3 linked regions of the Mus musculus genome follow. Each later gene encodes a partner of the first gene's protein in a complex. Links are inferred from orthologs where the notes say so. Each region holds a gene or a part of one and is shown in the gene's direction. Other genes may lie near its edges.

Region 1 (3,466 bases):
AAATTCAGAAGAAAGTCACAGGTTCTCGGAACACCACTGAGCCCTCAGAGATGTTCCCCGTCCTCCCTGGTTCACACTTGCTGCTCAATAATCCTGCTCTGGAGTTCATCAAATATGTGTGCAAGGTGAGGGCCAGGTATAAGTCCTTCAGTCATTCCATCAGCATTTGCTGGGTCTCTATCCAATGCAACCCTTGTTGAGGGATTTGAGCTTAGGTATTACAGAAGAAGCCCTCTCTGATAGATCCTAAGCCTGGCGATAAACCATGAGAGACTGGTTAGTTCAGATTCTGGAGGTCCTGGAACCAGGCACAGAGGCTCTGGAGTAGGAGAGCAGAATGCTGGGAAAGCTATAGCCCACGGAAGTGGAAGGAGTCCATGATCGCCAGTCACAGTGGGCCTGGTGAGCCAGAACAGACCTGAGACCAAATGAGGTGACAGAGCTTGTTTTCTGGGAAAGGCGGGCCCACATGGTGAGATGATACTACCCCTGCCCATGCGGGGTTATTACTCAAAGCACTTATTGTTCATTGTGCCATCTGAGCATCCCAGCGCTTCACTCTGAAGCTGAGCACTGAATATCAAGTGACTACACCTCAGGGTTTAACATGGTAAGCTGGGGATGTTTCTTCTCCACAGATGCACTTTGGACAGTCACTGACCTCTTTCCCAGAAAACAAGCTATAATGAACTGCACATTAGATCTGTGGTCCATTTTTAGTTCATCTTTACAGTGTATACACAAGTTTCCAGGGTGTTCAGTTCCAGAGCTCTTTTCCATTGGATATTTACACCCTTTCAAAGCACAATTGGACTGGACACGTTGGCTTACACCTGCAGTCCAGGGACTGCTAAGGCAGGTAGCAGGACCAGTTTGAGGACAGTCTGTATCTTCAGAAGCTAGCGAGTAAGACTCTGTCTTTAAAAAAATAACAACAAACAAACAAACAAACAAAAAAGCCTCATTTGGGCTTCTTTATTTTTAGATTCTGTATTTTTTTGCACATTGATGCTAGTATTTATATGGGCTGTTTTTGTCCATTCTTATGGTGGTAACAGCCTGTGTCTTTGTGTGGTATTAGGGTGATGTTGACCTCCTAGGACCAATGAGGGTCTCCTCCCTCTTTAGCTTCTGGAAGGTATTGTGTAGAATCAATGATGTTTCCTTCATCAGTGAAGACTCTACTCACTGACAGAGTTGCTACTGTAGAGAATCAGCTCTTCCTGGAGCTTCCAGATGGGAAGAAGGGCTAAACGGTGCTGGGAGATGAGCTAAGAAGGGGCACTTGGTCCAGCCAGAATGGTAAAGAGGCTTAGGGCTACTTCATGAAGGTCTGTGGTCCCCATAGGTACTATCTCTGGATACAAACATCACAAATCAGGTGAATAAGCTGAACAGAGACCTTCTTCGCCTGGTAGACGTTGGTGAATTCTCTGAGGAGGCCCAGTTCAGAGACCCCTGCCACTCCTACGTGCTCCCTGAGGTAATCTGCCACAGCTGTAATTTCTGCCGAGACCTGGACCTGTGCAAAGATTCCTCTTTCTCTCAGGTGAGCTCAGCTGATGATCAAAACTTCTAAATGTCCAAAGTGGTTGGGACATGTAGCCCAACCTGTAATATACAACATATTACCTCAGTGACTCATTTATGGATTAAAAATAGGCCACCCCTAAGCCACTCCACTGTAACGTGCTAAAAATTTGTTCTGAAAGGTCTGATCAGCACAAACCAAAAGCTCAGGCTGTATGGAATGCAGCCAAGAGTAGTGATGGTTTCCTTTGCCCCTGCACTCTCTGCATCTTCCCTTTACACCAGCCTTCTATTGCCCAGCTGGGCCCTGGCTTCCACTCACTGACATCTAAGCCTTCCTCCCATTTCCCAGGATGGAGCCATCCTGCCTCAGTGGCTCTGCTCCAATTGTCAAGCCCCCTATGACTCCTCTGCCATTGAGTCAGCCTTGGTGGAAGCCCTGCAGAGGAAACTGATGGCCTTCACACTTCAGGACCTGGTGAGCTCCCTAGTCCACCCAGGAGTTTCCAAGCACTATCAACATTTCAGAGAAGCCAAGATCATGTTTAGATCCTGACTGCCCTAGGAGGGAATCCTCATCCATGGACCTCGCCCACTCATTCTGTCCTCATCATTGATACCTTCTGTGGGCAGATGGGCCTGTCCAGTGGAGGGAGATAAACCACAGACAGTAAAGATGTCAGTGGTAGAGTGCAGGAGCAGAGCAGAAAAGCTTCAGCAGTTTAGGAGGACCTGAGCAGAGTCCTTGAACAAATCCCTGGGCAACTATTAGGACAGAGCCAACTGGGACACGGGACCCTCCCAGACCTTGGTAGTCCAGGTTGAGGATACCCACAGCAAGGTGGGCATTTTGGAGAAGGAATTGGCAAGAGTTGAATAACTTGAATTTTGTCAAGCACTGAGTCCTGAAATGATGGTGCTGCTTGCTTGTTTCAGGTATGCCTCAAGTGCCGTGGTATGAAAGAGACCCATATGCCTGTGTACTGCAGCTGCGCAGGGGACTTTACTCTCACCATCCGCACTGAGGTGAGCCATTCTCACACTCACTATAGGGATTTCCTCTCCCGTCTGAGTAAAACCCAGAGTCATTGTGTCTGTCTGTTCCTACAGGTCTTCATGGAACAGATTAGAATCTTCCAGAACATTGCCAAGTACTACAGCATGTCATATCTCCAGGAGACCATAGAATGGCTGTTACAGACAAGCCCTGTATCAAACTGTTAGCAAGCCTAGGCTAAAGACACTTTGGTATCCCACACCTACTGCCTGCTCCAAAAGGCAGAACCACTGACCACCTTGCTTTTCCAAACTCATGAGCACAGCCCAGAAGGAACAGAAGACTTCTGCTAACGTCATCATGCCATAAACAGACAGAAGCAGGGAATGGCTCTATCCCTAGCTGCCTGCTAAGTAAACACGGTTTTGAAGCGTCTGTTTTATGCTTCCACACAAAGCTCTTCTGCCTCTCGTCTGAGCATGAGATATGTTCTAAGATGAGGTAAGGGTGTGGGCAGAGAAGACACAGAAGCCAGTGCAAAACCCTGACTCTGACCAGAGTCTTGCTTATTTTCAGACAAATAAGCCTTTCCATCAGCTTCATGGGTATAGAATTCAGTCTGCTTTCTGGGAAATCCAGAAACATAGAAGCCGGGTGTGGTGGCACACGCTTTAATCCCAGCACTCGGGAGGCAGAGGCAGGAGGATTTCTGAGTTTGAGGCCAGCCTGGTCTACAAAGTGAGTTCCAGAACAGCCAGGGCTACACAGGGAAACCCTGTCTTGAAAAACCAAAAAAACAAACAAAAAACCAGAAACATAGACCCAGGGGTTTTTCTTCAGAGCAAAGTATGAAGAGGGTTATCTGTCACCCAGTGTCTTGAGTGAGACCTGGTGCTCTGTCCAGAACAGGGCTGAGACAGGCCTAAACTAAACACCTTT
Region 2 (4,384 bases), on another chromosome or scaffold:
CCTTATTCCACAGGTACACTGTGGAACAGTCTGTGGCTCACTCATAGCTGTAAATAAAATTACTTACCTGCATCAATAGTACAGGCATTATGACTAAACATTAATATTTATATAAAGCAATTAACTAGGTACACAGTGTTCTTATTATGCCTTATATTAAAAATTTAGTGTGTGTTGGATGCATTTGTTGGTATAAAGGCCCAAGGTCCACAAGCTCACTGATTTGGTTCGGCTAGCTTAGCTGGCCAAAGAACTTAAGCAATCCTGTTCTCTTAGTGCAGAAGTTACAGGAGTTCTATCACACTAGCCTTTTACTGTGTTCTGGTGATTCGAACTCAGGTCCTTGATGAGCAGCATACACTTTACTGAGTTGTCTCTCTTGCCTATTGCGAATATTTGCCACACTTCCATGCCAGATCTCTGGTTCGGTATGAGAACTCATAGGTAAGAAGAGGCAGGGAGAGGCTTCTTGGAGATCCTTTGCAGAGGCCGGCGAGGTCAAAGCGATTTTCTGTTTTAAAGATAGGGCCTTACTATGTCGTCCTCGCTGGCTTGGGAACTCCCTCTGTACACCAGGCTGGTTTCAAAGAGCATGATGTGCTTTTGCTACTTGAGTGCTTATATTAAAGGCGTGCACCACCACACCTGGTAAAAGTTATCTTAATCTTAGTCATTCTCATTCTCTCAAGAAGGTGCAGTGGAATTTTCCATAACTATGCAAAAAAACAGATAGTAAAATGTTGAGAAGCAGCTAGACGATCAAATTGTTTTCTAAAGGAGACATTAATTTTTTTCTCATCAATTTTTGTTTTTGTTTTGTTTTGTTGGTTTTGGTTTTTTCGAGACAGGGTTTCTCTGTGTAGCCCTGGCTGTCCTCGAACTCACTTTGTGGACCAGGCTGGCCTCGAACTCAGAAATCCGCCTGCCTCTGCCTCCCAAGTGCTGGGATTAAAGGCGTGTGCCATCACCGCCCCGCCAATTTTTGTTTTTGAAAAGTTACTTGTCATGATAATGTTTTGCCAACACTACATACTAGTATTTTAAAACATAAACCCTATGCAATTAATGTTCCTAGAGAACACAGTTTTTAGTTTTGTTGTTTTGAGTAAGGAGATCAGTGTTCTGAGCTAACCCTTGTTTGACCAACCACAGACAAAACTTGCTCTCCGTGTCTGCACGCCTTTTTTGCAGTGGTTTCCTCCCACTAAACCGCACTTCCAATTCTGCCCGTCAAACGTCCCATTCCACCTAAAACATGATCCCCGGCGCTGGCCCGGGTCTGTCGCTGCGCGGGGCAGCGTTGTGGGGACACCCACGGGTTCCCCTCCTGTTGGCCTAGAGGTTAAACTCAGCACCTACTGAGGCTCTAGAGAAGCATCCGGACTTCCGGCTCAGCTAGGCCACGCCCGGCCGCTTCCAGGCTGTGGCCGCCCGGAAGAGTACATCAGACCCCGGAGTCAGAGGGGGCGGTTCTGGCGCGCCACGCCTAGTGAGGGTGGGGCCACGCCCACACGGAGAGGCGTGGTCTCTACCCGGCGCGGGAAAGGGGCCGAAATCGCGTGCGCGCGCTCAGTCAGCGACCGCGCGCCACACGTTTCGGGAGGGGATGGCGGCAGCGGCGGCTGCTGGGAGCGGGACGCCCAGAGAGGAAGAGGCTCCCGGAGGGGAGGCAGCGGCTTCGCAGGCCCAAGCCCCGACGAGTGCACCCGGGGGAGTTCGCCTCTCGAGGCTGCCTCTGGCGAGAGTAAAGGCCTTGGTGAAGGCAGACCCTGACGTAACGCTGGCGGGACAGGAAGCCATCTTTATCCTGGCGCGTGCCGCGGTGCGACGGGGAAGCAAGGGCGCCTGGGTCGGGGAAAGGGGCGTGGCATCTAGGGGGCGTGGCGCTAGGGGGCGTGGCGGGCCCTGGTACGCCGACCTGACTTGACTGAGACCTAGGAAGGCCTCTGTGGGCCCCGTTTGAGTTGGTTAGCCACTCTCCTCTTCACGAGGACCCACGCAAATTTAGTTTGCATGGCTCCCACGGCTCACACAGAACTTGAAGGGGATCCTAATGAATGAGTAGGGTGGATTTGGAGATATTAGAGCAGGGGGATTGGAGCTATGGAGAGGGATAGCAGAAGTATTTTCATAAGTTCAGTACAATGGTAGCTTCTAGAACTTTCCTGTGTGGTAGAGTTCCCCCTTTACCCTTCTTGTCCACGTCTACACAGGATTGCTCATCTCAGTGGGCTAGAGTCCACTAATCTCTGCTTGCTTTTTTTTTTTTTTGTTGCAGGAACTGTTCGTGGAGACTATCGCAAAAGATGCCTACTGCTGTGCTCAACAAGGAAAGAGGAAAACTCTCCAGAGGAGAGATTTGGGTAGAGTCGCTGTGGTACCCCAGGGTGGACAGGGGAGCTATGGGCTGGGCTTTCTTATAGCTGTTTCACAAGGCATCATTGAAGCAAGGGGAAATTTGGCTTTTGGTTTATTTGTCTACCTGGTAACCCTTCCACATGTGTAAGCCTTTAGAGACTGTACCTCTCATTCCCTTCTATGCTGCCAAACTCTTTTTCTAGTATCTTTTTTTTTTGTTTTTGTTTTTCGAGACAGGGTTTCTCTGCAGCCCTGGCTGTCCTGGAACTCACTCTGTAGACCAGGCTGGCCTCGAACTCAGAAATTCACCTGCCTCAGTCTCCCAAGTGCTGGGATTAAAGGCGTGCACCACCACGCCCGGCCTTGTTCTAGTGTCTTTAGAGTAGAGAGAAAAGTGAATTTTGGAATAAGACAGGATTGTAGGATGCCTTGAACAGCATTTTCGCTGGCTTTTGAGGTGAGACAGTTAAAAGAATAGTGAGTGTAAAGATGGATCTTAGGACCTCTGGGTTACAGTTTGTAAGTGATGTCATTTGCATAAAATTCCATGTTGGGTCTGATGTCTGAATGGCAAGAGCCAATCAAGTATCCCTTTACCTTGTGTTTCAGATAATGCAATAGAAGCTGTGGATGAATTCGCTTTTCTAGAAGGTGAGTTCACTGCCTGCACAGACTATTTCTCTGTTGATGATGTGAGCTTCAAACCTTATAAAACCTTATAAAACAGATGTGTGGTTTTCCTTTGTATACATGGCAGCAATTCTCCCTGTTTTGATAGAAAAAAAAGGAACATTTTCCATTCTTGGGGAATTAGAAATTCTACAGGGAAATTGCAAGCTTAAAAGAAGAAGGAGGGAGTATATAAATTACCAGTAGAATTGGATTTAGATTTTGAATCCTGTTTATATCTCCAAACTAAATATTAATATTGCTCCTTTATAATGTTAAGAATTAGAAACAATTTGTAACTTTTTTTAAGATTCCTTTTTATTTACGTGTATGTGTGTTTCTATATGCCAAATGTATGTAGGTACCCCCATAAGAGCCAGAAGAGTAGTGTGAGCTGCTAAACATGGGTGCTGTGAACAGGGCTTCTGGAAGAGCAGCAAGCACTTTTTTGTTTTGTTTTTGCTCTATTTGAGACTTGGGTTTCTCTGTGTAGCCCTGGCTCTCCTGGAATTCACTCTGTAGACCAAGCTGGCCTTGAATTCGCAGAGATCCTAGAACTACTTGCCTCTACCTCCAGAGTGCTGGGATTAAAGGTGTGCTTCACAACTGCCTGCTGATGAGCATGAGGTCTTTTTTGTTGTTATTTTTTCGAGACAGGATTTCTCTGTATAGCCCTGGCTGTCCTGGAACTTACTCTGTAGACCAGGCTGGCCTCGAACTCAGAAATCCTCCTGCCTCTGCCTCCCGAGTGCTGGGATTAAAGGCGTGCGCCACTACCGCCCAGCTAGCAAGAGGTCTTAATCACTGAGTCATCTCTCCACCCTCAGTTCCTAACTTAAGACAGGGTCTTATATAGCTCAGACTAGCCTTGAACTCTCACTGTGTAGCTGAGAGTGACCTTGAATTCCTTTTCTGTCTTCACCTCCAAAATGCTAGTAATAATAATGATAAGTCAATACATACATAAATAGGCATATGCCACCTTGTCTGACGCTGAAATATTTTCTTCTTTTTTCACTCTGTTCTGCTTCTCTGTGTTAACCTTTGCCCATGGCACTCTTTAGATGTTCTCTTTGATATCTTCTAAGATCTCTCTCCAATGTCTGCTTCAAGTCTAGATTTTTGAGTATTCTCTTTGAGTTGTAGATTTTGTTTTTCCACCTATTTGTCTTAAAAATAACTTGAATTAGTTGCCCAACTTGTTTTATAGTCCAGTGTATGGTCATCCTTGGTGGTGGTCTTTATATTCTTGAAGAGAAAGTACTCTATTCTGTTCTGCTTGCTTGTTTTATCAGTTGCTGAGTAAGAATTGTCCATTAAATTCTCCTACCACAACTGTAGATTATTTTCACTTGAA
Region 3 (3,252 bases), on another chromosome or scaffold:
AATGGTCCAGAATGTTAGCTTTCTGGCTTCTCTCCTAGATCACAAGGCCTGACAGCACCAGTTCTAGATAAATAGTGGCTGGAACTAAGGCTTATGACATCTTTAATCCAGGCCTGTTCTAAGTGCAGAGTTCTTTCCACCAGAACAATCCCTCAGTATTGTTCATCATCCCAACCCTGTCGGGTTGTTTTTGTTTTGTTTCTCCAAATAGGGAAAAACTTCTTTGTAATGTCCCCATCAAAAATTTTAAAAAAAACACGTTTTGGAACAACATGTTTTAAAAAGAAAGAAAGAGAGAGAGAGAGAGAGAGAGAGAGATATGAAGGAAGGAAGGAAGGAAGGAAAGAAAAGAGAAAAGAAAAGAAAAGAAAAGAAAAGAAAAGAAAAGAAAAGAAAAGAAGGAAATAATCCAGCATTAGTTCTCAGTAGGAGTATTTTTTTCAGTACTTAATTATACAACTTAAAGCAACATTGAAAATGTAAAATCAAGTGATGATTTTTGATAAGAAAAATATACAATGAATCACTTAATGATTTAAAAAATACAACTTTAACTTGGGTTTTTGAATGAGAATACAATGCATTATTCTTACAATCAAATGATTCTTGCGCTTTCAGTACCGAACCAGACCAAATTGAGCTCCGAAGTCTCATCAGGCGTCTTTTGATATTGCCCTTGTTACTGCTGTCCTAGTAAAGTAATGGCATTTTTTTAAACGAAATTTTAGATTAACACTTATCCTTAATATAATTATCACAAAGTTGTGAAGGGCATAAGATTAAAGATGGACAATACTACTGCATCAATCGGTGCAATAGAATTGAATGAAAATCTACACTGAGTTCCGAGCCAAAAAAAAAAAAAAAAAAAAAGGGCGGTGGGCACTCAAGTGTCAGTCGTTCGCGATTTTGCGGGATCAAAGCAGATTCCAAAGAGTTACTACGTTCTGAGCCTCTGGAGACAATGCTGAGATTGCGAAAGCGCGTTAAAGCTTTGGCCCCGCCCACCTCTTATAGAGAGCCCCGCCCACTTGGCAGTCCGAGTCCCGCCTCTCCCGGCTCAGTCTACGCCTACCCTTTCCAAGCTAGGCACCAGGCCACACGGTTGCCTAGCAGCGGCGAACGGCACGCTGGGAGAATCGACGGAAACCTCAGAGAGTCAAACTTAGTGTGGTGCGAAAGCTCTCGCGATGTGTAGTAGAGAAACAAGCCTGGAGTGGAACGTCCGGGATGCCGTGGAAGCGGATGGAAATTTCAATGGTCCTAAACCATTGCGACATGGAAAGCTGGGCTACACTGGGGACTTGTGGCGGGGCTGATGTAGCAGAGAGGCTGTGGTGCGCAAAGCACTGTGGGACACTGGCAACGTGGGGTAGGACGGAAGCCTCCGAGGGTCATATTTTAGCGACGCGGGAAGTCCAGACACCAGAACTGTCTGGAGACCTGAGCAGGAGGGTCGGGCCCCAGCGGAGGCAATGGCGGAGAGGCCCGAGGACCTAAATCTGCCCAACGCCGTCATCACCAGGATCATCAAGGAGGCGGTGAGCCGCTCGGGCTGGCGAATGGGTCGAGGGCGGACGTGTGGGCAGAAGGTTAACAGAATCCGCGTGTGTGTTCATCTCCACTCTCCTCGCAGCTCCCGGACGGTGTCAACATCTCCAAGGAGGCCCGAAGCGCCATCTCCCGCGCCGCCAGTGTCTTCGTTTTGTATGCCACATCCTGGTGAGCTGAGCAGAGGCTGAAGGGAGGCGCAGCGGGATCCTGACCCCGCGTTCGTGGCCTGGAACCTACAGGCCCCAGTTCCCTGCCTCAGTAGAGAGCGACTTACGGCTCTCTTCCAGTTGTCACACATTCTGGAGCAGGTTAAACAAGACGGTTACCGTAGCCCTTTGTATGGGAAGGGGATGAACTGAGCCATGCCACACACACACACAATCCATTCATCTACGATAAATACGGCTTTCCCACCCCATTCCTGGGGGTCATGCCTCCACCCACTCTGACAGCTTCTGAAGGGCGTTGCTCTTTCTTCCAGTGCCAATAACTTCGCAATGAAAGGAAAGCGCAAGACTCTCAATGCCAGTGACGTGCTGTCAGCCATGGAAGAGATGGAATTCCAGCGATTCATAACACCATTGAAAGAAGCTCTAGAAGGTATCCACGTACTCTTCTGTCTCTTAAACCATATATAAAAAAAATGCTCATCAGTATCAGTGCCATTAAGTCCCGTTCAATAATACAGGACTGGTCATAACTCCCCTCTGTTTAGTTGGTACCATCTCGGGTATGTGATAGGGGCCTGGTTATTCCACCTGTGCCTCGGTTTGTCTAATTAAACCATAATATCCTGCTTCCTTACAGCGTACAGGCGGGAGCAGAAAGGCAAGAAGGAGGCTTCGGAGCAAAAGAAGAAGGACAAAGACAAAAAGGATTCCGAAGAGCAAGACAAAAGCAGAGAGGAGGAGGAGGAGGATGAAGAGAGACTGGACGAGGACGACCAGAACGAAGAGGAGGAAATAGACAACTGAATGGAGAGAGTAGGCAGACTGTGGCGTGGTGGAGGGGACCCTGAGATCCTGAGACATGTCTGTGTGAAGGCTTTCCCTGCAAGGCAGAGCCATCTTCGGCACTGGTGCCTGAGATCAAAATAAAAGCTGACCAGAAAGATCAAAAAGAACTCTTCCCAGGCTCAGAGCATCTGAGTTACAGAAACCGGTCATGCGTCATCAGTCTGCAGGTTAGGATGTTTTTGAATAAGCGATTCTGAGTGACTACATAGTTTGGTATTGCTTGTCTACTTAAAGTATATGGCTAGCTAGTTTCTGATCCCATTTCCCTGCCCCTCTGAATAAGTAATAACATCCATGTTGCCTGCAGTGTTCCAAGTCACAGAAGCACTAAAGGCTCAGGGGGAAACAATGGGGCTTTGAGCCTGGTCACCCAGTTTGACTGTACAGTAGTTGACCATAGGAACTCGTGCTTAGAATGGCTGCTCTCTAGGAGATGACTAAGGAGCTGTGAGCGAGCGAACGAGGAAATGTCTTCACCTGATGGTAGCATTACTTACTTGGTGTCTGGCTTTCTAGACTTACTTAGCTTTGTAGTCCTCTAGTGACTGTAGATGCTCAGTCGTCTGGGGTGGCTGCACTCATAGGACACACACTCTTTAATTCTGAGTGTTGATTAGAATCTGTCAAAAAAGGTGCCAATTCTTAAAAGCAGGGGCTTAATCTTGGAGGTAACTCAGTGCCT

What was found.
Region 2: Pole (region 1) and Pole4 share a complex: the UniProt entries of both Homo sapiens proteins name them as parts of the DNA polymerase epsilon complex. The link is inferred for Mus musculus from reciprocal best matches to the Homo sapiens genes POLE and POLE4.
Region 3: Pole (region 1) and Pole3 share a complex: the UniProt entries of both Homo sapiens proteins name them as parts of the DNA polymerase epsilon complex. The link is inferred for Mus musculus from reciprocal best matches to the Homo sapiens genes POLE and POLE3.

What each region holds. Positions count from the first base shown.
Region 1 is NC_000071.6:110,334,492-110,337,957, forward strand, and holds the end of Pole (DNA polymerase epsilon catalytic subunit A), read left to right. Parts: coding exon 1-125; intron 126-1,348; coding exon 1,349-1,549; intron 1,550-1,882; coding exon 1,883-2,008; intron 2,009-2,466; coding exon 2,467-2,556; intron 2,557-2,640; coding exon 2,641-2,754; 3' UTR 2,755-2,962; downstream 2,963-3,466. UniProt on the Homo sapiens protein: Catalytic component of the DNA polymerase epsilon complex. Participates in chromosomal DNA replication.
Region 2 is NC_000072.6:82,650,062-82,654,445, reverse strand, and holds the start of Pole4 (DNA polymerase epsilon subunit 4), read left to right. Parts: upstream 1-1,580; 5' UTR 1,581-1,606; coding exon 1,607-1,822; intron 1,823-2,278; coding exon 2,279-2,363; intron 2,364-2,967; coding exon 2,968-3,009; intron 3,010-4,384. UniProt on the Homo sapiens protein: Accessory component of the DNA polymerase epsilon complex. Participates in DNA repair and in chromosomal DNA replication.
Region 3 is NC_000070.6:62,523,220-62,526,471, reverse strand, and holds Pole3 (DNA polymerase epsilon subunit 3), read left to right. Parts: upstream 1-1,457; 5' UTR 1,458-1,475; coding exon 1,476-1,541; intron 1,542-1,636; coding exon 1,637-1,722; intron 1,723-2,035; coding exon 2,036-2,154; intron 2,155-2,361; coding exon 2,362-2,528; 3' UTR 2,529-2,674; downstream 2,675-3,252. Other genes in the region: 4933430I17Rik (uncharacterized protein C9orf43 homolog), read right to left, coding at 594-654. UniProt on the Homo sapiens protein: Accessory component of the DNA polymerase epsilon complex. Participates in DNA repair and in chromosomal DNA replication.